Linked DNA regions of Rhinolophus ferrumequinum. The protein of the gene in region 1 purifies or fractionates together with the protein of each later gene. This does not show direct contact. Links are inferred from orthologs where the notes say so. Each region holds a gene or a part of one and is shown in the gene's direction. Other genes may lie near its edges. The genes, in order: AXIN1, AMER1, LRP5 and DVL3.

What was found.
Region 2: the proteins of AXIN1 (region 1) and AMER1 purify together in Homo sapiens (affinity purification with mass spectrometry; 4 studies listed by BioGRID and IntAct, with this or other methods). This does not show direct contact. The link is inferred for Rhinolophus ferrumequinum from reciprocal best matches to the Homo sapiens genes AXIN1 and AMER1.
Region 3: the proteins of AXIN1 (region 1) and LRP5 purify together in Homo sapiens (affinity purification with western blotting; 3 studies listed by BioGRID). This does not show direct contact. The link is inferred for Rhinolophus ferrumequinum from reciprocal best matches to the Homo sapiens genes AXIN1 and LRP5.
Region 4: the proteins of AXIN1 (region 1) and DVL3 purify together in Homo sapiens (affinity purification with western blotting; 3 studies listed by BioGRID and IntAct, with this or other methods). This does not show direct contact. The link is inferred for Rhinolophus ferrumequinum from reciprocal best matches to the Homo sapiens genes AXIN1 and DVL3.

Annotation. Positions count from the first base shown.
Region 1 is NW_022680357.1:2,361,042-2,368,634, reverse strand, and holds the start of AXIN1 (axin-1), read left to right. Parts: upstream 1-4,588; 5' UTR 4,589-4,892; intron 4,893-7,593. UniProt on the Homo sapiens protein: Component of the beta-catenin destruction complex required for regulating CTNNB1 levels through phosphorylation and ubiquitination, and modulating Wnt-signaling.
Region 2 is NC_046284.1:78,553,867-78,561,071, reverse strand, and holds the start of AMER1 (APC membrane recruitment protein 1), read left to right. Parts: upstream 1-4,189; 5' UTR 4,190-4,613; intron 4,614-5,147; exon of another isoform or gene 5,148-5,480; intron 5,481-7,205. UniProt on the Homo sapiens protein: Regulator of the canonical Wnt signaling pathway.
Region 3 is NC_046294.1:4,389,065-4,397,055, reverse strand, and holds the start of LRP5 (low-density lipoprotein receptor-related protein 5), read left to right. Parts: upstream 1-4,972; 5' UTR 4,973-5,087; coding exon 5,088-5,163; intron 5,164-7,991. UniProt on the Homo sapiens protein: Acts as a coreceptor with members of the frizzled family of seven-transmembrane spanning receptors to transduce signal by Wnt proteins.
Region 4 is NC_046285.1:60,962,890-60,969,916, reverse strand, and holds the start of DVL3 (segment polarity protein dishevelled homolog DVL-3), read left to right. Parts: upstream 1-4,012; 5' UTR 4,013-4,221; coding exon 4,222-4,382; intron 4,383-7,027. UniProt on the Homo sapiens protein: Involved in the signal transduction pathway mediated by multiple Wnt genes.

The DNA of each region.
Region 1 (7,593 bases):
ATGGGGGCCAGCAGGGGTGTAGGGGGCTGTGTCAGGTCTCCTGGTGCAGGGGACATAGGATGAGCAGGGACCATTAGGACAGGGCAACAATAGCAGCAGGGTTAGAAGGGGACATATCATGCAAGCAGCAGTGGACACAGCTGACACTGGAACCAGCTTGTTTGAGGCAAAGCCCCTGTTCCTGTACCCCTAACTCCCTATCTTGGTGTGGGGGCCAGCATCACTCCTGGGGAGTCTGCCTCGGGCATTTTCAGCGGAAGGGCTGGTGAGAAAACTCCACACAGCAAGAGGGATGCAAAGTGCCAGCGTGGACAACACACCTGCCCACCGGTGTGAAGGGAGCGAGGAGCTAAACACAGGAGAAAAGAGGCTCGGGGACCCCAGCCCGGAGTCAGCCCAGGAAGCTCAAGGCAGCACCTTCTCGCTGGTCCTGGGACCTGACTTGGGGCAACTGCAGCAGTCACAGGATGATCTGCCACCCTGCCCACTACTGCCCAATGGGTCATCTCTGTCCCTTCCTACAGGGTCCTCACCCCTGCTGGTCTTGCTCTGACCACTGATTGCAAGGTGGTGCCTGCTGCAGAACTTTGTGGTTTCCATGTGATCGTAATAGTGATTTCACACAGAACTTCTTCCTGAGTGTATATGGAAGAGAATGGACTCCATTCCTAATTCTGCTCTCCAGCCATAACCTGGTATCAATGCCCTGGGATAGTTCTTGAGTCCTCTTGCCTTTCTTTGCACACGTTCTATAGTCATAAAAATGGGTACCCTCTGTGTGTGGGCTCTTAGCTTCTCTCCTTGGTGTTACATCTTGACACCTTGGTGCAATGGCTCCATGTCCTCTGTTGGGCCCAGACAACACCTGGTCCTCCCTGCTGAGCTCAAAACTGATGGAAAAGCACACACCCAGGGAGGAGAGATGGAGCCCGGGGCTGGGCTGGTGGTCAGGAAGGTGGCTGGCCAGTGTGGCTGGGGCTTCTCCTCCAAAGGGAAGTCCATTCCTCTCCCCTCAGAACTGGAAGAGCCAAGGCTCTCTACCTGCCTGCTCATCCCCACCCCCTCACCTGGGGACTGGGCAAAGCGGGCAGGAAATGGAGTGCCTGGAGGGGGCTCATTCTGAGTCTCCCGTCTTCCTCTGGAAGCCTGAATCAATACGCTTCCTCCTGTCCTTTCGTCCCAGGAGGAGGATGGGGACCTTCACAGTGTCCCATCTCTGCAGCTAGTCCTCTGCTGCCAGTTTTCACCCTCCTGCATCGGTCCATGCCCCAAATGCCTCAACATACCTTCTTGGTGCATCTGGGTGATGACTTTGGAACCCTTTTTAGAAGCTGTCTTCCTCAGCCAAGTGCACGAACACCTGTAAGGCTTCAAAGCTCACTTTATTTCACAGTATTCCCTGTCTGTCTAAATCGCAGAAAATAATGTCATTTCTACTCCTAAGTGTTTCGTGTAGTTCCTGGAAAGCCTGAAAAAATGTCATCTTCAGTTAATCAAATCAAAGCCTCTAGTGGCAAACTTCTGCTCCCAGGGAAGGGGGGTTCATTTTAGCGGACCTCTGGAAGGCAAAGGGGGTGCTCCGCCATGGAGTTCAGCTGTTCAGAAGTGAGGCTCCTGCAGTTGTGTCTCCTCTCAGCTCTGGGTGGCTGATGCAGTCCCCCTGCCAGGTCATCACTGCTCCATTGCAGGTCCCAGGGCTGCCCTCCCTACCTCCCTCGTTCAGAGTTTTCCCAGAGCTTCCTCCCCTGATCTGCCCCCATGCCCACCCAGCTCAGACAATCTCCTGTCCGTGCCCACAGCCATAACCCACCATAGAGGGCTGTTGAATTTCCTCCAGGCTTTCTGACTCCCTTCCTGTTCCTGCAGGGCGGGGGCCCCGAGGAGCCGGAGGCCCGAGGACCCTGTTCTGGTACCAGGGCCTGGGGACACCTGCCACCATGGGCCAGGAGGAGGATAGACATGGACACAACCCCAGGAGCCTGGCCTGGCCGCAGCAACAGCTCTGCAGAACCAAGGCAAGCGTTGGGGGCCCCTTTCTGGGAGAGGGGTGGCAGCCTGAAGGCCAATGTCCAGGCCACCCAGGACTCCCAAACCCCACAGAGACTCTGCTGTGCCATGAAGGCCACCCACTCTGTCTCCTCTAAGCCTCTGAAGCTAAACAGGGGAGGGGAAGGGCTGCAGGGGCATCTCCTGTGCCCAGCACTCTGGGGCCTGGGGCCATCCGCCATCCTGGCTGGACTGAGATGAGTGTGACACCTGCCTCCAGGACCCTAGTGGGGCCAGTGTGGGTTCAGAAGTGCAATTTCTGTGGTGTGCTGTCTTCACCTACAGCCCCAACCCCTGCCTAGCCTGACCCTAGGTATGGTGACCCTAGGAGGTGGCCTGGGCCCTTGGCAGGCTGAGATGCTTCTAGTGGCCCTTATCTCTCACTGTTCCCCTTTCCTACAAAATCCTGGGCACTGGGTGCTATGCTGAGCCCTGGGAGAGGCTGGTACCACTGGTGGGCTCCTGGGTGGGACGTTGGCTGGTGGGTCAAAGAAAGCCCAAGCTGGGACTTCTAGCCCTGCCTGGGAGCCATGTAGGATGAGGGTGGGCAGCAAGGGTGAGCAGTGTACGGGAGATGTGACATTAGAGGTGACCTGGGGGGCTTCCAGGGGCAGCATGGTGGACACATGAAGTGGGCAACTGACCAGACACACCCAGAGGAGGGTGGCATGGTGGAGACACCAGCAGAGAAGGGCCCTGAAAGACTGTGGATACCAGAGAGCAGGCTGCTGGGGAAGGTGTGGATGGATGAGGTGTTGGGGAGCCCTGGGATAGGAGGCGGTGGAGCAGGTTTCTATGGGCCTCAGTGGTAGCTTCCTTGTCTGTAGAATGGGGGCATGGCTGTCCCTTAGGGGCTGCCAGAAGCATTTCTCCAGGTGCCAGGCCCAGCAATGCTGTGCAGAGGATAGAGTCCTGGGTGGTTGTGACTGGTGGCAGAAGCAATTCTTTAGGGACATTAATCAATTCCTGGTATTGACAATCCTTCCCTTGGGGAGGGGTTGGTGGTGGGCTTGCAACAGAGTTGGCCAGCTATGCTTGCAGGTCAGGCAAGGGCTGCCTCGTGACAGTGAGGGGGATAAAAGGTGGTAGGTGCAGGGATCGGGTCACCTAAAAGCTCTTGCTCTCAGGACGGTGTGGGCATGTGGGACTCACAGTCATTGGTGGGAAAGGGAGCCCTTGTCCAGACCCTGGATGGTGCCTGGGAGAAATGGAGGCAGGTGGGCCCAGCCTGGGTAGGGCCTCAGCCAGTCGCAGCCCACAGCTCTTTAGAGGTTGGGGCTCCTGCCATATTTGTTGGATGCCTCCTGCCTACTGTGTGCCCTGGCCCTGTCTGAGTCCAGACTGCCTGGGCACTCAGGGAGGGTGTAGCCCCAGACCACCTTTTCAGGGTCCTGGCCAGCTGGGGAGCAGTGGGCAGGGAGAAGGGGGAGACAGGCTAAATATCACCAGGGGCTCAGTTCCTGGTCAGCCTACCTCTGCCTTCCAAAGTGCCCAACTCCTGGACGTCTGCTTCTTTCAGTGTCCTGGGAAGTTGGTGGCCATCCTGCTGCGGGTCTTCCTGTCCAGGGCCAGCCAGCCCCTAGATCTGCAGTCCCTCTGGGCACCTTGCCCACCCGGGCGCGGGCCGGGCCTGTGGGTGCCGACCTCGGAAGCCCTAAGCTGGTGGACACCAGCGTGGGCAGCAGAAAAGGGCGGCAACAGGGCATGCACCCAGCGGTGTCCACCACATTGGGGGACGGTCGTCCACTTGGCGCACTGGTCCAAGCCTCCTTGGTGACTACAGTTCTTCAGGGACCCTCGCGGGGGCGTCTCCCCGACGCCACTACCCTGGACTCCACAGTCCAGAGGGACATGCGCAGTTTCCCAACGCCCCCTCCCGAGTCCCCTCAAGACAGCGTCCTTGCTCCACTCCCCGCTCACGGCCCCGTCATATTAGCATATATAACCCCGCCCACTCCCATTCCGGCTCCGCCTCACGTTCCAGGTCGGCCTGGACGCTTTTGGCCCCGCCTCAAAACTCAGGGCCCACCCCTACGCCCAGGCCCCGCCTCCACGTCCTAGGCTCCGCTCCCACGTTGGAGGCTCCACCCCCATGCTCTTAGCCCTTCCAGGCGCTTCGGGTCCCTCTTGCATTCTCGGCCCGGGTCCCACACTCTCGGCCCCGCCCCGCGCCCTCGGCCCCTCCCCCACGCTCTCGACCTCGACCATGTGCTCTAGCCCCGCCTCCACGTCCCAGGCCTCAAACCCACGTTCGAGGTCCTACCCGATGCTCTTCGCCTTATCGGTGCGCTCCGGCTCCGTCTTGCGCTCTCGGCCCGGCTCCCGCTCTCGGCCCGGCTCCCACCCTCGGCCCCGCCCTCACGATTTCGGCCTCTCCCCCACGTTCTCGGCCAACCCCAAGTCCCGGTCCCGCCCCACGCTGTCGGCCCTTCCCTCGCTCGGGGCTCCGCCCCACGTCCTGGCCCCGCCCCAAGCCCCGGCCCCGCCCCCGCACTTCCGGGCGGCGCCGGCGGGGGCGCTCCGGCCTGGGCTTCGGCGCTCTGGGCTCCGGCTCCCCGCTCGGGGAAGCGATCGCGGCCGCCGCCGCAGGACCGGCCGGAGTTGGGCCGGAGCCGCGTCCCCGCGGAGCAGGCCGGTGAGAGCGGGCGGCCGGCCTCGGCGGCGCCCTCGCGGCCTGCCTGCGCCCGCCTCCGGGCCGCCGCGCCGCCGCCGCGATGGGGGCCGCCCCGGGCCGCGCCCCCGCCCCGTCCTGCCCGTCGCCCCGCCGCTGAGCGCATGGGCCGTGCCGCGCCGCGCCGCTCCGGGAGTCGGGCCCGGGGCCCTGCCACCGCTGCCGCCGCGCGCGGGTGAGTAGTGCGGGCAGAGCGCGCATTCCTGAGGGGCGCGGGCCAGTCCGTCCGCCCATTGTAGGCCGCGTAGGCCGGACCGGGCGGGCTGGGCGCGGGACCCGGAAGAGGGGCTCGGCGGGTGCGGGCTGGGAGCGTGTGAAGGGAGGCTGTGCGGACCGAGGGCGGGTGAGGGGAGGCCGTGCGGGCCCCGAGTGTGTGAGGGGAGGCGTGCAGGAGTGCATGGAGGCTGTGCAGACCGCGGTGATAGGCGAGGAAGATGCGTGGGGACCGAGGCTGTGAGAGCAGGTGTGTCAGACGGGGGTGCTAGCAGGGGATGTGGAAGGCGAGGGCCAGTGACATTGGGATGAAGAGTGCCGGGTTTGGTTCAGAAAGGGCAGACTCTTGCTCTAGGTGAAGACCTAGGATTCTGAGAAGCGGTTGGGGGGGTCCTCCTCGAGGGGTCTGGGGTGTGCAGCTGGTTGGTGTGTTGGATGGCATGGTGCTGCGTGCGTGCGGTGGTTTGTGAGCCTTGGGCATGTTTCAGGGTGTGGGTGGGGTGCAAAGGAGCTGCTGGGGCCAGACATTGTGTGCAGGGGTTCTAGAGAGAGGCTGGGTAGTGGCGCGTCCTGTTCTGCTATTCCCAGCAAAAAGTAGGACTGAAGGAGCCTGAAACCCAAGGAAGGTGCCTGAGACTGGGCCCCGGCTGTCTGGCTTCTCTGAATGGCTGTCATCTTCCAGGGTGATGCTTTGTCCCCCAAACTATCTCTTGGGTATGGGTCTTCAATTCTACGTTCACACCACCTTTTGGAATTCAGCCCCCCACGAAACCAGAGCTGTATGACCAGGACAGTGAAACTTTTAGCATAGAGGACAGTGGAGAGAAAAATAATTCTCTGGGGATTTTTCTCAGCTCACCTCTCAGATAATTCATAAAAAGTTCTTACTGTGCAGCTCGGCCCCTCTTTTTTGCTCACACGTATGTTCTCTGCTTCTTTAGGGCGAATCTCAGGCAGACTGGGACCCACAGGCCCTGTTTTGGAGAACACACAGTCTAAACCTGACCTCTCAAGATAGTCAGCAGCGTCAGGGTTTCGCTTTTAAGAACTTCTGTTCGGGAACAAAGATGAGAAAGCATATAAAATACAGTAGTGTTTCCTGTTTGCTTTTCAGCAGGTGTTGGTGTTTCTTGGATTCCTAGTTTCAGAAAAGCTAAGTGGATTTTGGGGATTTACATGGGTCATTAAGAATTTAAGTCACGGGGGAATGGTTTATATGCAAAACTGTAGCCCTTAGCCCTTCAAGAGTTTAATTGCTGACGCTTCCACACTCCACATAAATCAAAAGTTATATTTGAGTCAAATAAATATATACACATCTATAGCATTGAGCTGGCTGCCGTGGTACCCAGGGGTTATGTCTTGGCAGTGACTAAAGGAGACTTTAAATGTGGTATCAGTTGTATGGATTCCTTTTATGGAACCCTTTTATTGATGGTGGTTACACGCTATTGGCCAGATTCAGTGCTTGTGGGCATTTGACTCTGACCTGAATTAATGTAACTGCTTTATGTGTGATTTGTGTGTGTGTGTACACTAAATGTTTGATGTACTTCTCTGTGGAAACCCGGAGCTTGCGGGAATCGGAGCACATTTCAATAACGTCAGTGATCTGGGAAGTTTGTTCATGTGCTTCCAGAGACACCAAAGGTCTTCTGTCAGTGGACAGCCAAAAACAGATATGATTTATAAGGAATGTTTTTTCTGAGCAATGAAAAATCATTTAAAATGATTAGAGGGACTGGTTCACACGTGAATTAAAATGTAAGTCTTAAGACAGCCGCAGTTTGGTCATAAAGGGCTAGATCTTGAATTGACTGCTCTTTGTATGGCACAGTAGTTCAGCATCTGTAGCAAGTGTCATTTTCCTTTATGTCAAGGAATTAAATATTTATTAGTGCCCGTTAGTCGCCAGACCTTGTGCCAGGTGCTGTGGGTCCTGCAGAAAATGTTTAAATCAGGCTGCCACAAATAATTGACAAAGACGTCATAAAGCACCTTAAGAGAAAGTGACAGTGATTCATAATGAGCCTGTCGTTCTAACACAGTGACTTGGTTCTTTCTCAAGGCTGATTAACTGCAGAGTATCTCTAAGGATCCGGCTCCGGGGGCCGGGTACAGGCCCTCTGGTATCCGGGACAAGAGGACATGAGACATTCACAAGCTGGGGTGGGGCTGAGACATCACAGGTACTCATTCCATGTTGATGGTGCTCCAAGAAAGTGACTTTGCAGTCGGAGTGGTCCATGAGCAGCAGGGCGCCACAGCCCACCATCCTTGACCTTAAGAAACAGGCTGTTCCTGCTGAGGCTGAGATTACAGCCTACCCAGTAGTTTTCATAAGAAGTCATTAGCCGCAGAAATGTCACTGGGTGCACGTAATTGTGACCCAGCCTCCATCTCTGGAAGCTTCTCACTTCTAGCCATCAGGAGCTGCTGGCAGGTGAAGTTGGACGCCGAGTGAGAATGCAGATGTGGCGGGGGATTCCTCATAGGCCAGGCCCCAGAGTGTGGCGTGGTGGCCAGGGAGAGCCCCCCTTTGTGTTAGTACTTTATTTTGCTTCCTCCGGCTTGTTCAGTGCTCCAGGCACTTTGGACCTGACATGCTTGTCTCCGGCCCACTTCTGGGCACACCACTTCCCTCGTGGCAGGCTGTGTTGCAG
Region 2 (7,205 bases), on another chromosome or scaffold:
CAACTGCTTCTTACCACCTCCACTGTCTCCACCCTGATCTGTGCCACCATAATCTCTCACCTGGATCACTATAGAAGTCTCCTTCTAGGTCTCACTGCTTCCTCCCTTGCTGCTACAGCTAGCTCCCCATGCTATTCCTCAGCTCAAAATCCAACAAAGTCTAAAGTCTTTAAAATGACTCACAAAGCCATACACCATCTGCCTCCCATGTCTTCTCTGACTCCCTCTCCTACCACTTTCCCCCACACTCATTCTGCTCCAGCTGCACTGGCTGCTAGGTTGTTCCTCTAACATTGCAGCATGTTCTCACCTTTGTACTTGCTGTTCCTTCTGCTTGGAATGCTCTTTCTCCAGATAGTCTCATGATTTACTCCCTTAGTTCCCGTGGATCTTTGCTTCAATGTCACCTTTTGGTAATGGCTACCCCAATTGCCCTGCTTAAAATAGCACACTCTCACCAATACCGTGTTTCCCTGAAAATAAGACCTGGCTGGACAATCAGCTCTAATGCATCTTTTGGAGCAAAAATTAACATAAGACCCGGACTTATTTTAATATAATATAGGACCGGGTGTAATGTAATATAATATAATATAATATAATATAATATAATATAATATAATATAATATAATACTGGTCTTATATTAATTTTTGCTCCAAAAGACACATTAGAGCTGATGGTATGGCTAGGTCTTATTTTCCTGGAAACACAGTACTCCCTGTACCCCTTCCCTGTTCTATTTTTCTCTATGCCATTTATTGCCATTTGACATAGTATATATTTTACTTATGTATTTTATTCATTGTCTGTCAGCTCTCATGAAGTTTTCATTATCATGATGGGAAATAGACGATTAAGATGGCAATAAAATAAATAAATAAATAACAATAAAAATAATAAGCCAGGAGGTGAAAAATGTTATCGGTAAGAAAAAAGGCCAATTAAGGAATTGTAGAGTAAAGGGGATAGGAACAGAAATTGCTATTTTATATTTCAAGTGTCCAGGGAATGTCTCACTAAAATAAGGTGACATTTGAGTAGACATCTGAAGGAAATGAGGCAGAAACTATCTCAGTATCAGAGGACAAACATTGTAGGCAAAAAGAACAACAGTGCAAAGGCCCAGAGGTGGGATTTCAAAGTCAAACTCAGAATGTTCTAAACAGAATCATTACATTTTCCTAATCCTGTTCCTATATTCCTTAGTTCAGTGGATTGCCACACTCTCCAGTGCCTTGCCCCGGTTGGAAACTGCAGGGCATTTGTCTCATAGGTTGTATGCCTCCTTTACCACACTGGCTGCTCTGAGGCCAAAAGCTCTCTATTTCACCATTATGTGTGCGACACCAAACACAGGGCCTGGCACAGAGTTGGTACTAGAGATAGAAAGTGGCAACATCACACCTTGGATGCTGGCAACTAAGCTTGATATTAGACCTGAAGATGCCTCGTTTGACTATGTTCAACAAACATATACTTAGCACTAAGTTTGTGCTAAACTCTCTGTTGAGTGCTAAGGATACAAAGATGAACAAAGAGACCTGCTTTCCTGGGAAACTCAGTCTGGCTCTACACAATCAAAAAAAAAAAAAAATCTATGTATATGGAATCACAAGCTCATGTGTGTTTATATCAAAAAGTGATTTCAAAGTCGTATCATAACTTTGAACATCTGTTCATTGGATCATATGAAGACCAACAACAATAACAGCAGCAGCAGCTAACATTTATTGAGAACGTTGTGTGTATTAGGCTCTGTGCTAAGCACTCACATAGAATACTCATTTAATTCTCACCACAACGCTGAGACATGGATACTATTATTATTCCTATTTCTCAGAAGAGAAAACTGTTACTCAGAGAGGTAAAATAACCTGCCCAGGTCACACGACTCCTAAGTGGTGGGGCCAGCATCCCAGCCTAGGCAGTCTGGTAGCAGAGCCACTACAGTATACCCCTTGCTTGCTTGGGAAGGACAAACTTAGCTAGCTGAGCCTCACTTTAACCGAACAGTTATGGTCTGTCATACTTTGGTCCTAGTCCTATCTTTCTAGCCTAATTTCCATTTCTTCCTCTCCACCTATACAAATACTCAGCCATAGGGGTCCAGAATCCTAGCTCTTGCCCAACCTGCCACACCCTCTCACACTGATTGGGTTTGGATTGAGCAGGAATCCTTCCCCTACTTCTCTGACTTGAGTAATCAGCAAGGCCATCCTCCAGGGAACTTTTCTCTGATGCCCCTCCCAACCCTGGGGAGAAGGAATCTCTTCATCCACAATGCTCCAGATCACCTTTACCAGCTCCTCTCACAATTCCATCATCAGAGACCTCTTCTCCCATAACATTACCACTGTACCCCCCTCTTCCCAATGCCTATTTGGAGGCCATGCCCATGGAACATTTGGTGAAGAAAGAAATGAGCATTGTACTCATGTGGACCAGTCTGTCTACGTGAGTTTGTGGAGTTACTTCCACACAGCCTGCACATCTGTTCTCATGGGCTTTTCACTACAGCCACAAGATACTGGGCAGCAGAGAGATTATCTTTTTAGGTGAAGAAATTTAAGAAAATATTCTTGCCCCCACCACCCGCCCATATAGTAACTGAACAAGTTAACCATGTGTCAGTCATCACATGGAATGGGGGCCTGGAGGGTTCTCTCTTCAAGAAGGCAGTTTTGAGGTACAAGTTTGTGCCCACAATTGGTCTTTCCCTACATTGTTTCTGGGGAGGAGTGGGCCATATAAACAAGAAGCTGTGCCACCCCTCCCATGCCCTTCCCCTTTAATGTGCACATATACAATCTCCTCCTGAGACTTGTAAATATCAGGACCAAGAAGAAAGCCACCCAGCTGGGAGACCTCTTTAGCATGTGAAAGACTACTTTCATTTTCCTGAAACCCTAATGCTTTTGGGCCCAAACCAATGTCCAATATCTGTCAGTCCCAAAGCTGACTGGTATGGCAGAATGTTTGGCAGCTGGGCAGAGGACATGGAAGACTAGATCCTGTGCCAGGAGCAGCACAACAGTGCCCCCTCACCTGAGGTTTATTTCAAGCCTACCACTTGACTACTTTGCACAATTCCTCTCTCCCCTTCCCACAGCTGAGGCTGCCCTGGACCTGTGTTTCCCTGCGCTCCAGATTTGGAAACTGTGTTCTCCAAATTGTAATCTTTGGCCTACTTCAAAGAGTCGAGGTTCTGGGTGAAATGTGAACAGGTGGCAGGCAACCAGAGGCATGAGGCAGTGGGGAAGCCTATGAAGGAGGCATTAAAAAAAAGACACCTTCAAATCAGGTCCAACAGTTGAGAATCAGGACTTTGTAAAACAGGAAAGCACAGCTCCAGGGAAATAGAATAGTCCAGCCATCCAGGTGGGGAAACTGAGGCTAGAGAAGAGAAGGTATTTGCTCAACAAAGTTGCACAATGAGCCAGCCAGTGGCAGCTCCCTCCTTCCTGCCATTTATTTAGACCTGGGACTAGGATAGGAGGTCTCATGTTCAAATTGCTGGGTTTTGTTGGAGATATATAGAATGTCATGGAAGATAATAGAACATCTCAAAATATTATAGAAAGAATTGAGTTGAACCGTCAGAGCTGGAAGAAATCAAGGAGCTTGACTAGTCTTACCCCCTCCTTGTGGAGATGGGGTGATAGTCTGGCCCAGAGAGGAAAAGGGATTGGCCAAGGTCATACTTCATGTCTGAGGCAGAACCGAAGCCAGATCCCAGCCCTAGCAGCCATGTCAGTTCCTGTGCTCCACACATGCAGAGACAGCAGTCCTTCTCTTACCAGTTTAGCAGCTGGATCTTTTCAAGGCAGACAGTACCCAGTACAGCAGCAGAGAACACTCCTTCTACAGTGCAAAATTGGCAGACATTGTTCTTTAATCCCACCCCCACCCGTGCTTCCGCCCCCCCCCCACCCTTGTCCCTCCCTCCCCCGTTTTTAAACATTCACAGAGTTTTAGGGCTGGGCCTTCTGGATGTTCTTGAGCTAGTGGTAGAACTGGATTCTTTGTTGCCTCAGCTCACCTGACCCTGGCAGCCACTAATGCCACTTAATGCCCTCGGGCTAGTTAGAGACCCAAGTTCAGGCTGGCTCCCCTGCCACAACCCAGACACAGCAGCTGGCAGGGTTGTTACAGGCCTCCTCTGTCCACCCGCAGCCTTTACCTCCAGTCGGGGCTCATACAAGCTTTTTCTCTCAATAGCTAGACTTTTCAGGGACAGGGAACTGCAAAAAGCCTGGCTCACCATTAAAAGGTGTGTGTGTGTGTGGGGGGTGTCTCTGCAGACCTTGAGAATCCCCTCGAGTTCTGTGAAAGGTGGGGAATTTGGGTGAGGGTCAAACTATAGAAACAGGTCTCTCAAGAGAAGAAAAGTGAAAGCAGCCCTGGACAGGGAGCCCCGGGTTTGAATTCCAAATCTGCCTACGTCGCTGGTGGCGGGCTGGATGACCTTGGGGATGCGCCTCCCTTTCTCTGGGCAGCAGTAGGCCCTTTGGTAATGGGTGGAAGTTGGCCGAGATCGTCCCTAAGGGCCCTGTTGTGCCGAAGAGGCGGACGAAACTGAGGCGCTGGCGCTGCAATCGGTTTTCCTGGCAGGTGAGTCCCTTCTCTGAGCGGCCTGGTGGCACGCGCTGCGAGGCCTTCTCTACCCCTAAGGTTGGGCTGGGCTCGGTTCCAAGGGGCTCTGCAGTCTCCTAGGCTCCCCAACATCTCCGCCCCGCCTCTCCCCGCCTGTCTCTCACTCTGGAATAAACTGCCTGGTGGAGGCCACGGCACTGCAGCGCGATTACACCGCGACCACGGAAATGCGAGCGCATGCAAAACCGAAACCGAGCTCCAGGACTCCAGCGAGCCCTATCTGGGCGGGACCGGCCCCGCGAGCTCACGGTGTCTCCCTGCAGTGACCCACCGGCTTGGGGGCTGGAGTGGGGAGTCCCTGCGAGGGGTTCTGCACCCTCCCCACCCCCTGCCAACACCACGCTCGGGCTTATTTGCATTTAAAGGGAACGCACAGAGGAAAGCAGTGGGCGGGGCGGGGCACGCCTTCCCACTTTGGCGATTGGGCCACACGCCTGCCAATCGGACCGCGGACACCCCACCCTGTGGCTGTGGAGTTCGTGGGGAGGGGGTATGGGGGAGCTGCCCAGAGCCTGGGGAAGGGGAGCCAGTGCAGTAGGTGACTGGAGCCGCGGCGGCGGTGGCAGGAGCAGCGGTGGCGGCGCTCTCAGCCGCGGCAGCCAAAGCTCCAGCATCCGCCAGGGCTGCGGGACAGACAATAACCGGGCTGGAGACCGGACCCGGTCGGGTAAGCGTTGGGGGCAGCCAGGAGGCTCCGCCTGCCCGCCGTCCGGTGCAGTCCCGCGTGCTCCGCTCTGGCCGCCTGCAGAGGGCCTCTAGGGCTGGGCCAGTCGGCGTCCGGGCCGCTCTCCGCTCCCCTTTGGAACCCGCTTTGAGGACTGTCCGGTGAGGGCCAGAGCAGAGTCCCTTGGGCGCGGGCCACCGAGGCTATGGGGTGGGAGAAGAGGGCGGGCAGGCGGGCAGGCGGGCGGGCTAGCCTGGGCCATGCCTCCGGGTTCTTGGGGAGGCGGGGATGGGGCCCACACGTGCTGCCGCGCGGTCCCAGGAGGGGAGCAGCCAGGCAGCACCCCCAGCGGTACATTTGTAGGCAGGGATCTCTGCAGCTTTGTTGTAGCACATTAGCTGGAACAGCTGTGTTAAGCGGGTGTTGCTCACCCTAGCGTCCCGGCGGCCGCCCCTCCCCTCCCCTGCAGATCTCCTGTCTCTCTCCTCTGCAGAGGAAGCCTGCGCGCTGGCCTAGGTTCGACGGACACTGACTTTGGCGTGGATTGGGGTATCTATAGTGTCTGCCTCCTCCTTGAGGGAGCTCAGTGGGGCCTGTGGGCTGCCCACTTCCCTTCAGAACCTCGGCCATGTGTCCCCAACCAGCCGCGCCCCCTGCTCCTGGGCCTCCAGGCACATCTGGCGCCTGCCCCCGCGGACAGGCGGACTGGCAAGGGGACTTTCCCTGGACCTTGGATTAGAGCTGCGGCTCAAGCTAATCTTTGGGTTAGAGCTGCAAGGCCGCTTTGTCTCCCCCCTCTCCTCCCCTCCTCTCCGTCTCAGAGGGCACTGGCCGCATTTTTCTCGCCAGCCTCCCGTTTAAAAATAGCGATAAGCACGGTGTTGGGAGGGGTTTCTGTGCAAGAAGCCGAGCGAACAATTATTGTAGTAGGGAAAGCACTGTCTGAGTGTGTGTGAGAGAGCTAGAGAAGCAGCCAAACCCTCTAACTTCTCTGTTACTTAAAATATCCAGCCCGCCGAGCCGCTGTCATTGTCTGCTGCAGACACCTCTGACACTAGTGACCGCCCGCCTTTGCCTAGGCTCCCCAGCCTAGAGAGGCTGTGCCCACCAGGCACGCCACAGACCAGGCGCCCAGGCAGCAGCTGGAGTGGCCCTGCAGAGCCGGTCTCCTTTTGGCCAGGCTCTTCTTGGCGTGGGCCGCGGGGTCAAGGCGAGCCTTGTCCTGCACACAAACACCTCCCTCTGCGGCTCTGCCCCCCTGCTGCATCCGCGTGGGTATGGGCAGGGTGGAGGGCACTGCCCTGTTGGAATACCCGCCCCATCGATGGGGATTCCAGCAGAGCCCTCACCCCCAGTGCGTCTCCCCTCATTCGGCCTCGCCCACCACTCAGTCACTGCAAAGCGGTGTGCCTCTGGCAGTGGACTCTAGGCCTTTCTGAGGAACAGGAGAGAGGGAGCTTGGCAGGCCCTTTTCGACCTTTGATCAACCTCTGAGGGTGGAGAACCCATTGAGAGGAGACAATGAGACCCAGTAAATCCCTCACTTGGAAGAAAGACTAGCTGGGGACCTTTGTGACACCAGCAAGTACTGCAGATACCATACTACACTCACCTCCTTTCATCACGACCAATACCAACATAAACCACCTACTTGCAGCCTGGCGTCTCCAGCCCAGGGCTGGACCTGCCCTCTGCCCTGCCTTAAACTGACAAACAACCACCTAACATATCTGTCCTATATAACTTTCCTCCCTACATCCAAACCCACTCATACTACACTGTCCAAATTCTCTTTCCTCTCTGGCCCCAGCTCTGGGCCCACCTTCTCAGTGCCTTTCCTGCCTGTCTGTTGCAACGTATGATGACCTCTCCTTCCTCAGAAGTCC
Region 3 (7,991 bases), on another chromosome or scaffold:
AAGGTCCTGTGCTGGGTCTCCTCTGTCACCGTCCTCCAACAGGAACTCGGAGGAGTCCAAAAAGTCCCACGTGGCACCACCTTCCTGGTGTTAGGAAGGCGTATTTGTCCCGCCAGGAGGTTAAAACACTCCTTATCTCACAGTCTGTGGCCAGTTTATAACTTTATTTTTTAGTGACCATCCATAATTTGATCACCTAGATTCAAAATTTGTTAAGGTTTTGCCATATTTGCCAAAAATATGTTGAAAGTGCATTGCAGACAATATGACGGTTCACCATTAAATAGTTTAGCTCTCCTAAGAGCACTCCGCTACATAATTAGAATAGTTTCTTCATATCTAAAAAATACAATTCTTAATATCATCAGAGTTATTTTTGAAGCATTTTTTAAAAAAAGATCAGTCAGGACATCTCTTTTGTCTCTTTTTATGTAGGAAAAGGCATTGTACTGAAGAGTGATTTTTTATTTTATTTTAATTTTTTTGTTGGGGAATATTGTTGAGGAACAGTGTGTGTCTCCAGGGCCCATCAGCTCCAAGTCGTTGTCCTTCAATCTCGTCATGGAGGGCGCATCTCAGCTCCAAGTCCACTTGCCATTTTCAGTCTTAGTTGCAGGGAGCACAGCCCACCATCCCATGCCATCCCACACGGAATTGAACCCGCAACCTTGTCGAGAGCTTGCACTCTAACCAACTGAGCCATCTGACCCCTCCAGAAGCTCAGCGGCAGCTGGTTGTCTTCAATCTAGTGGTGGAGGGCGCAGCTCACTGGCCCATGTGGGAATCGAACCGGCAACCTCGGCATTAGACACTGGCCAGCCCTCTCTCTGCCTTTCTGTATTAAGGCCCATTGTCATTGGATTTAGGGCCCACCCTGATAATCCAGGATGACCTCGTTTTAGGATCCTTACCTAAATTATACCTGCACAGACCCTCTGTCCAAACACATTAACAGTCACAGGTTCCCAGGATTAGGGTGCGGACATATCTGTTTGGGGGCTACTATTCAGCCCACTATAGGTGTCTTTAAAGAGCTAAAAAAGGGATATCAAACCTGAATATCAACTTCTTAATCTGTATTGAAAATAACCCTGCTGGGTGCACCAGACAGTCACGTGGCATTAATGCTCCCCCAGGATCGAGTCACATGACGAGCCACAGATCAGGAGGAGGGAAGCTCAGGGCTACAGAAACTAAGGGCTGGATGCCAACTATCGGAGAGAGAAGAGCAAGTGTGCGGGGTTGCCTAACCCACACTTGCTCTTGTGCCCTATCGTGGGCCCACACTAATCACAAGTCACGTGAATGCAGGGCTTCAAAGTATAAAGAACATTTTTATGAATCTTCTCTTGGATGAAGTTCACATCAGCACTAAGAGATAAACAGTTGAGCAGATATTCCCATTTTATGAATGAGGAAACTGAGGCTCAGAGGGGAAGTTTAGCCCGTGTCCCTCACACCCCAGCTGTCTCCACAGGAGCCGTGGCTCCACTGCCAATTAAGCCTTGCACTGCCCACCACCATGCGCTGGTGGCTGCCTCCCCTTGCCTGCTCCTGGAGCAGGTTGCTCGGAGGTGGTGCTGTTGCAGGGGGAGGCCCTCTGGGATCTGAGGGATGGGCTGGTCAGTGGACATTCCCTCTGCCCTCCTCCACCGAGCTGCCCTCAGGAAGATGCTCGTGGTTCAGAGAGCCGGGAATGCTGGGAGCCTAAGGCACACCTCTGTCCACAGCCGCCAGGCCTGCCGGGAGGGAGGGCTCTCGTGCCCAGAATAACTCTCCAGAGTCAGCATGTTCCCGCATGGGAGGGAAACCAAAAAGGCACTTTCCCCAAATGTCACGGGGCTGAGGTGGCATCTTTCGATGGGCCCTGAATGGACCCCAATTGAGCCCTTGTCCCCAGAAACTATTAGATCTGACAGGTGCTGAGCCCCTGTTACTTCCCTGGGATGAAACCTGCATCTGAGGAATAAATTGAGAGTGAACATTTCCAAACGCGAGACCTAAGGAAACTTTCGTGGCGTGATGAGCTGTGACAGGCAGCCTTCTGGGAAGCCTAACACGTTCTCCAGCTGCTTCTTACATTAGTGAAGAATGTAAAGATTACTGCCCTTGTGATGTAGGAATTCTGCAGAATAGTACCTCATTCTCATTTGTTCTTTACAAATGACTTTTCTCAAAGTTTGGATGGAGTCATTGCTGTGATGCCTGAAGACCTGGGGCACAGTACCTTTCCTGTGGGGGGGTCTCTACAATTGACACCCCAAGAGTTGGCACAGGAAACCCCAGGGCACCCCAGGAGCTGCTGCCAGCCTCCGCCATCCCCTGACTTAAATGCCCTCTTCTCTATTTATTGAAGTCTCCCATTCTGACAATCAAGCTTGCCACCTTCCTCCTCCAGAACAAAGAATCCCAATGTTTGTTTGTTTGTATTCTTGGATCATTTTACTTTCAATCATCTGCATAACTGAGCGTAAGGTCTTCAGCTCCTCAGTATCCCTTCTCAGATTTAGAAACTTGACTTGAACTTTAGACCTAGCGTAGTTCCTATGGCGAGCCACCTCGGGCCCCCTTCCCCTCTTCTCCACAGCCAGTGGCCTTAGTGAGCCCCATTTGCTTTTCCTAAAGCATCCCAAATCCAGGTCCTTCTCACCATTCCTGAGCTCCCCACCCCTTGCCAGTCCAAGCTGCCATCTCTCCTGGCGGCTACTATGGTACCCAGTCCCCTCATTCCCTCTTCCCTCCTGACAATCTTGTTCCCACTTGGCAGCCAGAGTGCTCCTTTTATAAATGTAAATCAGATGTTTTCACTTCATTCATTCAACAAACGTTTTGTAAGCACCTACTATGTGCCAGGCCCTGGTCTAGGTTCAGGGGATACACAGGGAACAAAACAAAGGACAGTCTCTGTTCTCATCGAGCTTCCATTCTTGGACGGAAGAAAGGTAAGTTTAAACACTTAGTCTGTCAGATGTCGCTCAGTGCAAAGGAGAAAAGTAAAGCGAAGAAATGCAGCAGGAAGAGGCAGCATGGGTGCGTGTTCCAGGGGGTGTGGTTTACAATTTTCAAAGGCGGGTCAGGGAAGGCCTGGCTGAGCAACCGAAGATGTGGGGAAATAAACTATGTGGCTAACTGGGGTAAAACAGTTCCAGCAGAGAGATCAGCAAGTGCAAAGGCCCTGAGGCAAGAGTGTGCTCGGTGTGTCTGAGGACCAGTGAGGAGGCCATTGTGTCTGGAGCAGGGTGAGGGAGAGGAAGGAGGGTGCAGAGGAGGTTGGAGAGATAATGGGAAGGGTGTGGCCAGATCAGGCCCAGTAGTTGCCATAAAGCCTTTGGCTGACATGGGAGCCAGAGAAGATTCTTGAGCAAAGAAGGGATGTGATCTGACTTGTTTAAACAGGCTCATTCTGGCTGTGAGATTAGGCTGAAGGGGGTCAAGGCAGAAGCAGAAGACCCATGGAGGTGAGAGGGGACCCCAACAAGGGTAGTGATAGCACAGGTATGAGAAGAGCCGGGAGTCTGCATCTGTTTTGAAAGTAGAGCCAACAGGATGTGCTTCTAGGGTTGGGCACAGGGTGTGAGAGAGCAATCAGCAAGGGTTTTGCTACTCAACACCCACGATGGCTCCCCACTGCTCTTGGGGTCCAGGTCTGATCTGCACTGGCTCCAGCTAGCTCCTCCTACTGCTTTGTCAGGCGTCTCTACCTCCCTACCTCAGACTTCCCCCAGACATTGCAGTACAATAATCTTCATTTTTCATGGCATTCCTCAGTCTGTTAATGGTATTTTGGTTTTTTTTTTTAATTTTAAATTTATCTGTCTTCTTGTTTTTGCTTGCCTCCCTAGAATATCAGCCCCACTCAGGACAGAGAGGTTCTGCCCGACCACTAGGTTTGTAAGGTTGTCACAAGTACGTGAAGAATATTCGCATCTGTGAGTATCAGTTTTTGGTGATTTACCGCTAGTTCTCTCGCACCTGCAAGGTAGGCACTGCTTCCCTATTTTATAAGGGAGGAAAGTGTGCCGGGAAGGTTATATTTAGACCTGCCCAAGGGCACACCTGATTCTAGGAAGCTGCAGAGCCAGAGTTGGGGCCCGTGGTTTCCAGAGCCGGGGCTGTGCTCCCTCTAAGTCCCTCCTGTGCCCTGAGGGTCCAGGCAAAGCTGGACGCTCAGGTGGCCCAGAGCTGGGAAGATGAGGAGCTCAGGGCCTGCTTGGCGGAGTCAGAGATGAGGTCTGCCATCCTAGAGGGGCTTTCTCGCTCAGTCCGCTTAGAAGGATGTTGAGAAGACCAGCGTGTCTTCGCTCAGAGTCTGTACCACAATGAATGTAGAGGGCGTCCGTTTAGTTTAAAAATAAAACCTTAGGCCCACCCCAATCCCAGCCCGTGTAGCTACTGCCTCACTCTCTCATCCGCTTACAAGTCTGTTCGCGCCCTGCGCCGATTCGCCGTCGTCCTCTGCCCTCCTGGGTGACCTCACCAGTGCGAACAGGTGTCGCCTGGCCGCCCGACCCGGTCCTGCCGTGGGGGCTGCGGTCGCGGGGAAGTGCACAGACCTGGCTCGGGGCCCCTGGCTTTCAGCCCCCAATCTGCTTCACTGTGTGTCCGGGGGCAATGTCCCCTCCCCGAAAAAAAACCCAACAACCCTGTGCCTCAGTTTCCCCCTCGGTAAAAACCAGGTACTTGCGGCCCTACAGGTGACACACCTGCTTCCGGGCCCCGGGCCCTGCGGGGTGAAAGCCCCGAGCCCGACCCTGCGCCGGGAGGAGCCCGGGCGGCCTTCCCCGCGGGAGGCGGGGGGCGCAGGGAGGGCCGTGGGGAGAGCGCGCAATGACCGCCTCGCCGCCGGCCGGCTCCGGGGGGCGCCCGCGGGAGGGCGCGGCCGGCGCGGGGGGCGCGGGCGGGCGGCAGCGGCGGGGGGCGGAGACGCGGCGCGGCTTCCGCTCCCGCGCCTCCTCCCTCCTCCCCCGTCGTCCTGGTCCGCGGCGCCCGAGGGGGAGGCGGCAGGCGCCGGAGCCGCGCGAGGAGCCGCCGCGCCGCGCCATGGAGCCCGAGTGAGCGCGGCGCGGGCCCGGCCGGCCCCGGATAACATGGAGGCGGCGCCGCCCCGGCCGGCGCCGCCGCTGCTGCTGCTCGCACTCTGCTGCAGCCTGGCCCCCGCCGCGGGTAGGTGGGCGCGGGCCGCAGGGACAATGGCCCGGACGCCCTGGCGGCCCGCGGCCAAGTGCGCGGCGCGCGGTAGCCACTTTACAAGTTGGGGGCGAGTTGGGGCGCGCGCCGCGGATCCCCGCTGCTCCCCGCCGTCCCCGCTGCCCGGGGGCCGCGCGCGGTCCCTTTGTCTCGCCCGCCAGGGCCCCTCCCGCGGACGCCGGGCCCGTCCGGAGCGTCCCGGGGCGGCGAGGAGGGTGCGCAGGCGGCGCCGACCCCGCCAGGTGCGGCGCGGCGCGGGCGGGTCCTCACCTGCCCGGGCCCCGGGGCGCGCTCGGAAGTGCGCCCGCGTGAAGCCAGCGGGCGAGGCCGTGCTGGGACCCTGGGCAGGCACCGAGCGGGGACTTTCGGCCCGGAGACAGGCCTGGCCGCCCTGCGTTGGGAACTCTTTGGCGAGCCTGTTTCCGATGGCCGCGCAGCCGGCCTGCGAGCTCCGAGAACTGATTTAAGTTGCAGAAAAAGTTCTGAGACAGGGCGCGGGGCGGCCTGGCCTGTTGCGCTGGCCTTTCATCTGCGTCGCAGTAGGTTTCCAAACGGACTGACACCTGCCAGGTGCCTGGACGATACGTCTGGCCGCTGGGGCCCCAAACAGTGACGCCCGGCCCGTGTCCACCCCAGGGGCCGACTGTGTGGGGCCACCGCGGGGGTGACCTGGTCCCAGAGCGTGGCGTGGTGGGGCAGCGTGCTGGTGCCTCAGTTGGGCACAGCCTTGGGGAGATGGAGGGCTGGGGACCTTTCTCTCCAACTTTTGGTGTGTCCCAAGGGGTGGAGTTGAGGTCGGGAGGGCTCAGGAAACCTAAGCGCCTGCGAAACGCTACACATGTTCTTTTAATTTGGAGATTGCCATGTGGTTTTTGAAGCAAGTCTCTCGCTACCTAAATCATTATCTTCTGACGTGAGTGTTGTTTTTCTGCAGTGTGGCTGGCCAAGTAGACACGGCCAGCAAGTCCTGTGCTCTTGGGGCTGCTGTTCTGCTGGTGGCCGTTTTTTGGGGGGGGCAGGGGGCCTCGGGTGCCTTTGTCTGAGCCTCTTCAAGACAAACAAGACAAACAGCTGTCTCTCTGGATATTTCCAGTGTGGACATTGCAGCGAGGTGTACTGGCCTGGCTCTGTGGTCACATTCCCAGGGCTGTGGCCCCTCCACTGAGGTTTGGGGGGGGGGGGTGTTGCAGAGAGGCCATGGTTTCCTCAAGTCCCCCTGCCTCCTAGCCCAAGCCTAGAGACTGTCAGTGGTTTCCCCCCAAATTTGTCTCTCTCAGGAACGTGTTTACGTTTCTCGGCCATGTCTGATACTAGCAAAACAAGGTGACGACAAAACAATGACAGTATCTGGGTAGTTCAGGCCAACGCTGCTCCTTTTCTTTCCGGAAATGCCTGGAACATGGAGGCAAAAGGGTTTTTTTTGGGAAGATGTTTGTTTTAAAGGTGGGGTTTCTTAGCCGGCTCTGTTGATCTGCACTTCCTTGCAGTTTGGGATTTCCTGTACCTTTCGGGGTGATGGTTCCTGGAGGCGAATGCCTGTCGTTGTGTGGTTCGAGCCCCTAAGAAGATGAATCGTGTGTGGCGTTCAGTTGTGTGTGAGGCAGAAATAGAGCTGATTATTTTAACATTAGGAAGCATGTCAGCACGAGGGTTTTAGTGCACCAGCTGATGGGGTGACCCAGGCCTAAAATGGATGGACAAGTCCTGGGGCTGTTCTTGATATGGTATGTCCCTGATTTCTGTGTTCGATTTATGCATCCGTCCGGAGTGCAGCCAGTAAGTTGGTAGCTCATTATTTTTCCTGATTGCTTCCTGTTGCAATTTGAAGCTGTGAGCCCACGGAAGTGCCTTTGTTCCTGGTCCCGGTACTGGGAATGGCCCAGGCCGCTCCCCTCTGTCCCCACAGCACTTGCTCCAGGCCCAGCCTGTCCAGGACTGGCCCACTGGGAGGGCCCAGCGGGTGGCTGTTGAGTAAACTAAATGCCGTGTGGAGTCCACTGAGAGAGCCCCCCCCCAAAGGACTCTGTGCTTTTCAAAGCAGGGCCCACATGCCTGTAACCTCCCGTTCGGATCCAAGAATTTCCCCAGTCAACCCAAACGATCCAGCATTTGCTGTGGAGATCCCGTCGTATTTGGAACCCGTCTAATTTCAGCAGCACTGTGTCACCGCTCAGGCATTTGCCAGAATTTGCACACTGGTTGGGCGGGGGTGTGTGTGGGGGTGCAGTCAGGTGAGGACGAAGCATGGCTGCCTGCCTATGGCAGGGGCTCGTCAGGGCTGAAGTGGGGGGGGGGGGCTTGGGGTCAGACCAACCTGGTTTACATACATGCTCAGCAGCTGGTTGACTTTGGACGACTTACTTAGCTTCTCTGCATCCAGTATCCTCACCTGGTTCCCCCCCAAGCCCAGGCAGTTGGGAGCATTAAATGCTGTGTGAGAAACCCTTGGCACCATCCCAGTCCCGGGTGAGGGACTGGTGGTGGCAGAGCTGCAGTTTCTGTTGTGTAACGGGGTCCTTGATCTTTCTGGTCTGGAAGGTCTAGAAGCTGTTATTACACAGTCTGGATTGTACTTCTCTGTGTGACCTTGGTTATCTCGTTTACTATCTGACTCATTTCTTGCTGTGACACAGAGACCGGTGCTGAACTGTGTGGACAGAGCCCAGGTGGCTGGGGGTCTAATCTGCGCCTTGCTGCCTACTCTGGGAGGGGAGCTTGGGCAGCTGACTCTCCCTTTGTGTGCCTCAGTTTTCTCTTCTGTAAAATGGGGCTAATAATATAATACTTCCTACCATGAGTTTAGT
Region 4 (7,027 bases), on another chromosome or scaffold:
GAATGAGAGATATCAACATTCTGGAAAATGAAAAATGGAAGAGTTGACTTAGCAGAGCAGAAGGAAATGGATTCTACCTACTGGGATGGCTATTAACAAGCAAACCAACATGACTTTCTGAACCCAGAAAAGGCTCAGCAGAAGAGGGTAAAGACGGTCTAAGAACAGGCATCGAGTGGAGGGGATTCAGACAAAGACCTCTATAAGAAAAAGCCCCCCCAACCCCCACCTTATATAATCCAGCAGGGTGACTACCCCTACTTCTCCTCCGCAAGAAATGGGAGATTTAGCCTTTGGAGAAACGGTGGGGAGGAAATTATCAAAGAAATACAAAGGTTTCCTAAACCCAAAGATCATGAGTTTCCAGACTGACAGAGCCCATGAGTGCCCAGCATAATGAATGATATTCAGAACCTCATGATATTCCAGAACCTCAGGGGAAATGTAAATTATTAGAGCTTCTAGACTTAACAACAGACATGGTGGGGATGGGGGTGAGGAGCTAGGTTGAAAATGAAGGATTAAGTGGAAGTATATGAGTGGTAGGGCTCTAAATATCAGCACACATTGATTTATATCCCCAGGCAAAAGCAAACAACAACTACAGAAAAAGCCTACAAATACATTTTTTGTTTCCTCGAAAAAAGCGATCTTTCCCCCACTTGATCACCCTACAGTAAACCTGTTAGATAATAAGCCTTGTACATGAACAGCTCCCAGTCAGCTTTCTGGTATCTCTTAAATGTGAATGGACGGCCAAGGGCCATCAAATATTTGAGGAAACTTCCAGTGTGGAAGGCAGAGACCAAAAAATTGACACCAAGGAAACTGACAAGACGGAGCTTTTTTGAAAACTTGGTGCGGCCTGGGGGGAAGCTATTTTCAAAATTCAAAGAGGAAAAATACTGTGTCTATGAAGAAAGTGTTATAAAAAGGAAGAATTGGAGAACAAAAAAAGTTCTTAGAAATTAAAAATAAATGAATTGTTTCCTTCTGCTGAGAACTGGAGAACCAGAGAACCAAACAGGAAGGAGACTCTCCATCCTTACACACTTCTTGAATTTTCAATTATGAATATTTTACCTATCCAATTGGATAGGGGGAAGGTTGGAAATAATATTAAGGAGATCTTGCAAAAAGGTGAAATCATTTTAAAATAGGAATGGATGATAAAGGAGAAAATAAAATTAAGGATCAATCCTGAAGGTCCAACATCTAACAGTTGCAGAAGCAATGGGGGAAATGGTAGTCATGTTATTAAGTAATTCAAGAAGATATGGTTGAATTTCTAGATGGAAAGAGTGCCTAGCACAGTGAATAAGCACCAAGGCATGTCACCATGGAGTTTCAGAACCCAAGGATAAAGAGAACTTCCTAAAGACTTCCAGGGAATTCAAAACAAATCGTGTTCAAAGGCTTAGGATAATAAAGAGACGAAACTGATCACTTCATAGCAACACTGGAAGCTAGAAGACAGTGGTGCCTTCAAAATTCTGAAGATAAATTCTGAACCTTCAAAATTCTGAAGATAAATTACTTTTAACTCAATCATTTTCAGATTTGCAAGTTCTCAAAAATTTTATTTCCCATGCTTTCAAGGGAAGCTACCGAGAATGTGCTTTCCTAAAGCAAAGGAGTAAAGTATCTAGGAAATGAGGAACCAACATGCAGAAGTAAAGGAAATTTTAAGTATGATACAGAGAAGTGGCTGCTGTGCACAAGCAAAGATAGTCAACAGTGCAGATTAGAGCAACAGAATTGAAGGCTCCAGGGAAGAAAATGGATAGATTATCTAATATACAGACATACCTCATTTTATTGAACTTCACTTTATTGCATTTCAAGATCATTCTGGGTTTGGTTTTTTTTTTTTTTTACAAATTGAAGGTTTGTGGCAACCCTGCATCAAGCAAGTCTATTGGTGCCATTTTTTTCAACAGGATTAGATAATGGTTAGCACTTTTTAGCAATAAAGTATGTTTTGATTAAGGTATCTACAGTGTTTTTTTAAGACATAATGCTATTGCACACTTAACAGACTACAGTATAGTATAAACATATCTTTTTTATGCACTGGGAAACCCAAAAATTTGTGTGACTATTGTGATATTTGCTTTATGGTGGTCTGGAATCAAACCCGCAGTATCTCTGACATATGCCTGTATTTGACTGAGCTAACAAAATATGTATTGAGAAACTATTAGATTATGTGGAAAGAATAGATAGATACACTATATTACATAAAAAGCAAAGCAAATGAAAAGGCAAGGCAATGGTTAATGACGAGAAACAAGTTGTAAAGGAAGCATTTATTCATAGTCAAAATGTCAATACTAAGTACTATATTGACTTTAAAAAAGTGGGATTTTACTATTTTAAGAGGTTAGGGGGAGGTGGAAGAAAAAGAAATCCATCAGTCAAGATTGGAAATCAATAAGCGATGTCTAGAATGCATAATTCAAGAGATAGTATAAACTAAAAAAGTATACTGGGGTGGGGAGGGAAATGGGACAGAGGACAGCTGTTAAAAACTTTCCTAATACTATTTGACTATGCACACATACTGCTTTGGTAAGAATTTAAAGTAAAGGGTATGAAATAAAAATATACATGTGTGCAGGGGCTAGCAAATAGTTTGATTTGCTGAAGTCAAAATTTTAGATAGGACATAATGAAATAAAAGGCCGCAAAGGTAGGTAGAGGTTAGATTATGGAGGGCTTTGGATATCATGATCAGGATATTTGGAAAGCATTAGGGAATGTGAAGAGGTTTCTGAGCTGAAGAGGTACTTACTGTTGAAATGCTTATTTGGCAACTGTACAAAATGGAGTGGGAGGAGCCCACACTTGTTGATGTGTGGACCTATGTGAGATGGTCCCAGTCTACCTTCCCAGACTGATCTAACACTATCCCTGGAGTCACAGCGGCCTTCCTCTGGTTCCTCAAATCTGGCAAGTTTATTTCTGCCTTGAGCCTTTAGACTTGTCTGTGCCCTCAGCCTGGAATGCTCTTCCCCCAGGCCAGACCTTATAGCTGCTTTCTCATTTGTTCTAGGACTTAGCTCAAATGGAAGAGGCCTTCTCTGACCACACATAATTCTCTTTCCCCTGTTACTATCACATCACTCTATTTTATCTTTTTCATAGCACTTGTCACTCTGAAGTTATTTATTTACAAGCCTCTTTCCAAATAAGTAAAGGTCCGGGGCAGCATTACCTGTCTTCTATTTGCTGTAGCTCATGCAGTATGCCTTGTACATAGTAGGCACTCAATATTTATTAAACAAATTTAAAGCTAAGGGGTAAGGGGATCTGTTAGAAATGATTATACCTACTTCTGGTTTGAGACTTACTGTCCCAGTAATGCACCCATCTTCATTCTTGCACTCGTTCTGCGTTCAATCCATTTATTAAACCACCACTGCGTTGCATCTAGGTACTGAGGTTATAAGAAGGAATCAGCACTCGATCCTATAGTGTCCTCAAGGAGCTCAATTTGGTAGACTCAATGATGGCTACTTATGCTTATTAACAGACCCTAAAGGTCCATGTCAAGATCACTTTCCCCAGTGGTACTTGGTCAGAAGCCCCATCCACCTACCTCTGGGGACCAAAGAGACCCCTGCATTACACCCCTTCCCAGCTGCGAGGAGCAACCGATCCCCTTGGGTCCAAAGCCTGGGCTTTGAAGAGTCCAGGAACGCAATCATCCTGGTGAGATCAATCCTTCCATCTCTGGGGCCCTGGGCGACCGCTGCCACGCTCTCGCCGGCCAGGGACCGGAGCGCAGGAGTCAGAGCTCGCCGCCCGGCGGGTGGGCGGGGTGTCCTGGGGGCCCGGCCGAGAGCCAGGCCATCTGCCGCGAGGCCAGCGCGGCTCGGCGGGGGCCGGGGGCGGGGCCGCGCCGGGGCGGGGTCGCGCCGGGGCCCGGGGAGGGGAGCGGGCCGGGCGACAGCCCAGAGCCGGGAGGGCCGCGGCCACCGGAAGAGTCGCCGTCGCCAGCGGAGCCGGGAGAGTGGGGAGCGGAAGCGGCGGCGGCGGCAGGGGCAGGCGGCGCTGGGACCCGGGAGCGGCCGGAGAACAAGGGAGCTGGCGCCGTGGCCGGCCGCGGAGCTGGGCTGAGCCACTGGGCCGCGCCGAGAGCCGCCGCCGCCGCCCGAGAGGCCCGGCCCGGCCGCCCGAGCAGGCCGTGCGCGGGCCGCCGGGCCAGAGGCCGGAGCCATGGGCGAGACCAAGATCATCTACCACCTGGACGGGCAGGAGACGCCGTACCTGGTGAAGCTGCCCCTGCCCGCCGAGCGCGTCACCTTGGCGGACTTTAAGGGCGTTCTGCAGAGACCCAGCTATAAGTTCTTCTTCAAGTCTATGGACGACGATTTCGGGTGAGGATGGCCCCCCGCCTCGCCTCCCGGGGAGCCCGTCCCCTTCGGCTTCTAGGGGCCACTCGGCCAGTTTGGACTTCCCTTGCGACACTGGCTTCGAGCCCTACTCAGGATTCTAGGAGGTGACTTGGCCATTTGGGCTCCTCTTGATTTTTTCAGATGCTGGAGTTCCAGCCTCTCTAGGGACTCTCCTTTCTCTCTTGTGAGGTACCTTGGCCTCCCTAGTTTAGGAGGACGTTCAACTCCCCAAGATAAATTAGAGTTCCAGCCCAGGAAGTCCCCTCACCTCTCAGAGACCAGCGGTCCACATAGACAGACACACCCCCACCCCTCCACCCAGTTCTAGAGCTCGAGTCCCCCATCCTTCTCCTGCCCAGGGAGCCACGTTTTTAGCACAGACTTGAGGAGTTTGGCACTCGGCCTTCGCTTTCTCCATCTTTTCAGCTCCACAGCTCCGAGCCATATTTGGAGTACCGTGCATCTCAGGGCTGTGCTGTGGGACTTTGAACTGGGGGGAGGGGGAGCGGGGGTGCTCAGGCGCTAGGCTGTAAGCTAAGGCCTGCAGACCTGATGTTTATTTAGCTGCCCCCCTTCCCTCGTGGGGTTGTGTGGGATGTTGTCAAGGGAGCCCCTGATGAGGAGTCCCCACTAGCCCAGATGTTGATTTCCCCTCAGAATTGGGGCCTTTTTCCTCCAGATGGTGGCCTTGGAAAGGGCCTCAGAGCCTGGGTGGGAGGGCCGGAAGAGTCTCTTGGCGTTCTTCATCTTCGCTCCCTGGCGGGGTCTTCTCCTCACTCAGCTGCAGGGCTTTGGACAGGCGGAGTTTGGAAGCAGCAACTTCCCCTTTAAGAGGGGATGGAATGTTGGAGCCGGAAGGTTCTGTAGCAGCTGGCCTGGGAGGGGGAGCCTGGCTTATCCCCTCACACCCCCCTCCAACTCCCAGGGTACTGGGGGAGGAGGAGGCCCCCATACTAACTGGGCGCTGGGCCTGGAGGCCTGTGGGGAAGGCCTGCCCCAGCCCTCCAGGCCTAAAGGCAGCCTCTCCAGCAATAGCCTGAGGCCTGCACTGCTCTTTGCAGCTGAGGCCCCAGAGCTGAGTGAGGGGAGACGTTCTTCTTCCCAGTGTTCATCAGTCTGGTTTCTCTCCCAGGACCTCAGCCCTCCTGGTATTAGGAAGCAAGCACCTTCTCTCCCCTCTGCCTGGCATGTTTTGCTGTCACTGTTCCCTCCCACCCCCCAACTCAGGGTTTGATGAGCCCATGAGCCCATATGTGTGAAATTGGTTTTACAGTAGGAAGTACTGTGCAGCTTCTAACTATTCTTGTTTCTGTTGTCATTCCTACCCTGGGGTACTTCTGGTGTTTAATGATTGTTTGGCTTCAGTCCAGAGACAGACACCGCTGATTAGAAGATTCCGAAGAGGGATCCATACGCAAAGGGTAGGAGTGAGGGGGCAGATGCCTTGGCCTGGTAAGAGAAGAATAGAGTTAGAAGAGACCAAGATACTTCCTCAGGATATGAGATAGGGGCAAATTAGCGAAGTCCAGTGCACCGGGCAGATCCCACTCCGCCAGGTTGCTGTCAGGCCAGGCCTAACTACAGTCATAGGAGGGCCCCCGTTACATCCGCTCACCGTTGACTTAATATTGTTCTTTAAATCTACTGTCAGCCCACTCACTCTTTCTTAGCTTGACCAAATCAATAATATGAAATCACAGGTCTGATTTTCTAATTATACTTCTTTCTAATATATGTTAAAAATAAATATTTACTATTGAATTACATGTTCATTCAGGTAACACCTGAACACATCTTGCATACATCACGTACTGAAACCATCCTTTGCAAAATATCAGAGTAGGCCATTTTAACAGGGTTGAGAACAATGCTAAAAATGAAGTGGAGGAGATTGATTTTGTTTTTCTCCCCAGAAGGATTAATGAGCAAGAGATCTAATAGGGTTATCTTATCACAGAAGACTAATAATAGAGGAATATATATATATATGTATTTAACAAACTCTTTTTATGGTGCTTACAGTGTACCAAGCACTGATCTAAATGCTTTCCAAATTTTTACTCATTTAATCCTCTTAAATAGCCCTATGAAATAGGTAGTAATATCCCCAGTTTATAGATGAGAAAACTAGAGCACAGAAAACTGAAATAACTTACCTAAGGTCACACAGTCTGGCTAGTTAGTGGCAGAGCTTGATTCCACATCAGGAATCTGGCTCCAACGTCTAAGGCTTTAATCACACAATTGTAGGTATTATTATTATCACCATTTTACAAACGCATCCTCTCTGGGGCAGATGCTGAGCCTCGGCACACGGTAGAGGTGATAGGGCTGCCACTTATCCTAGCCCCCTGAGAGGAGGGTCAGGCGGAGGCCAGTGGCCCCTGCTGACAGACGGGAAAGGGGGTCTGAGAAGGAAGGCTGCTGTCTCTCCAGGCTTATCCTCTGAGGTCCTGGTTTGCGAGGTTCTCCAAGTCCCATCTGGTCTCCAGAAGTATTTGTCAAGCTCAGGGTAGGCCCAACCCTCTTAAATGATTTGGGAAATAGAGGAAGAATAAACATTTTCAGCCCTGAGGAGAGGGTGGATGGGAGAACAAGGTACCCACGGCTAGAGTGGCCTCGAGCAG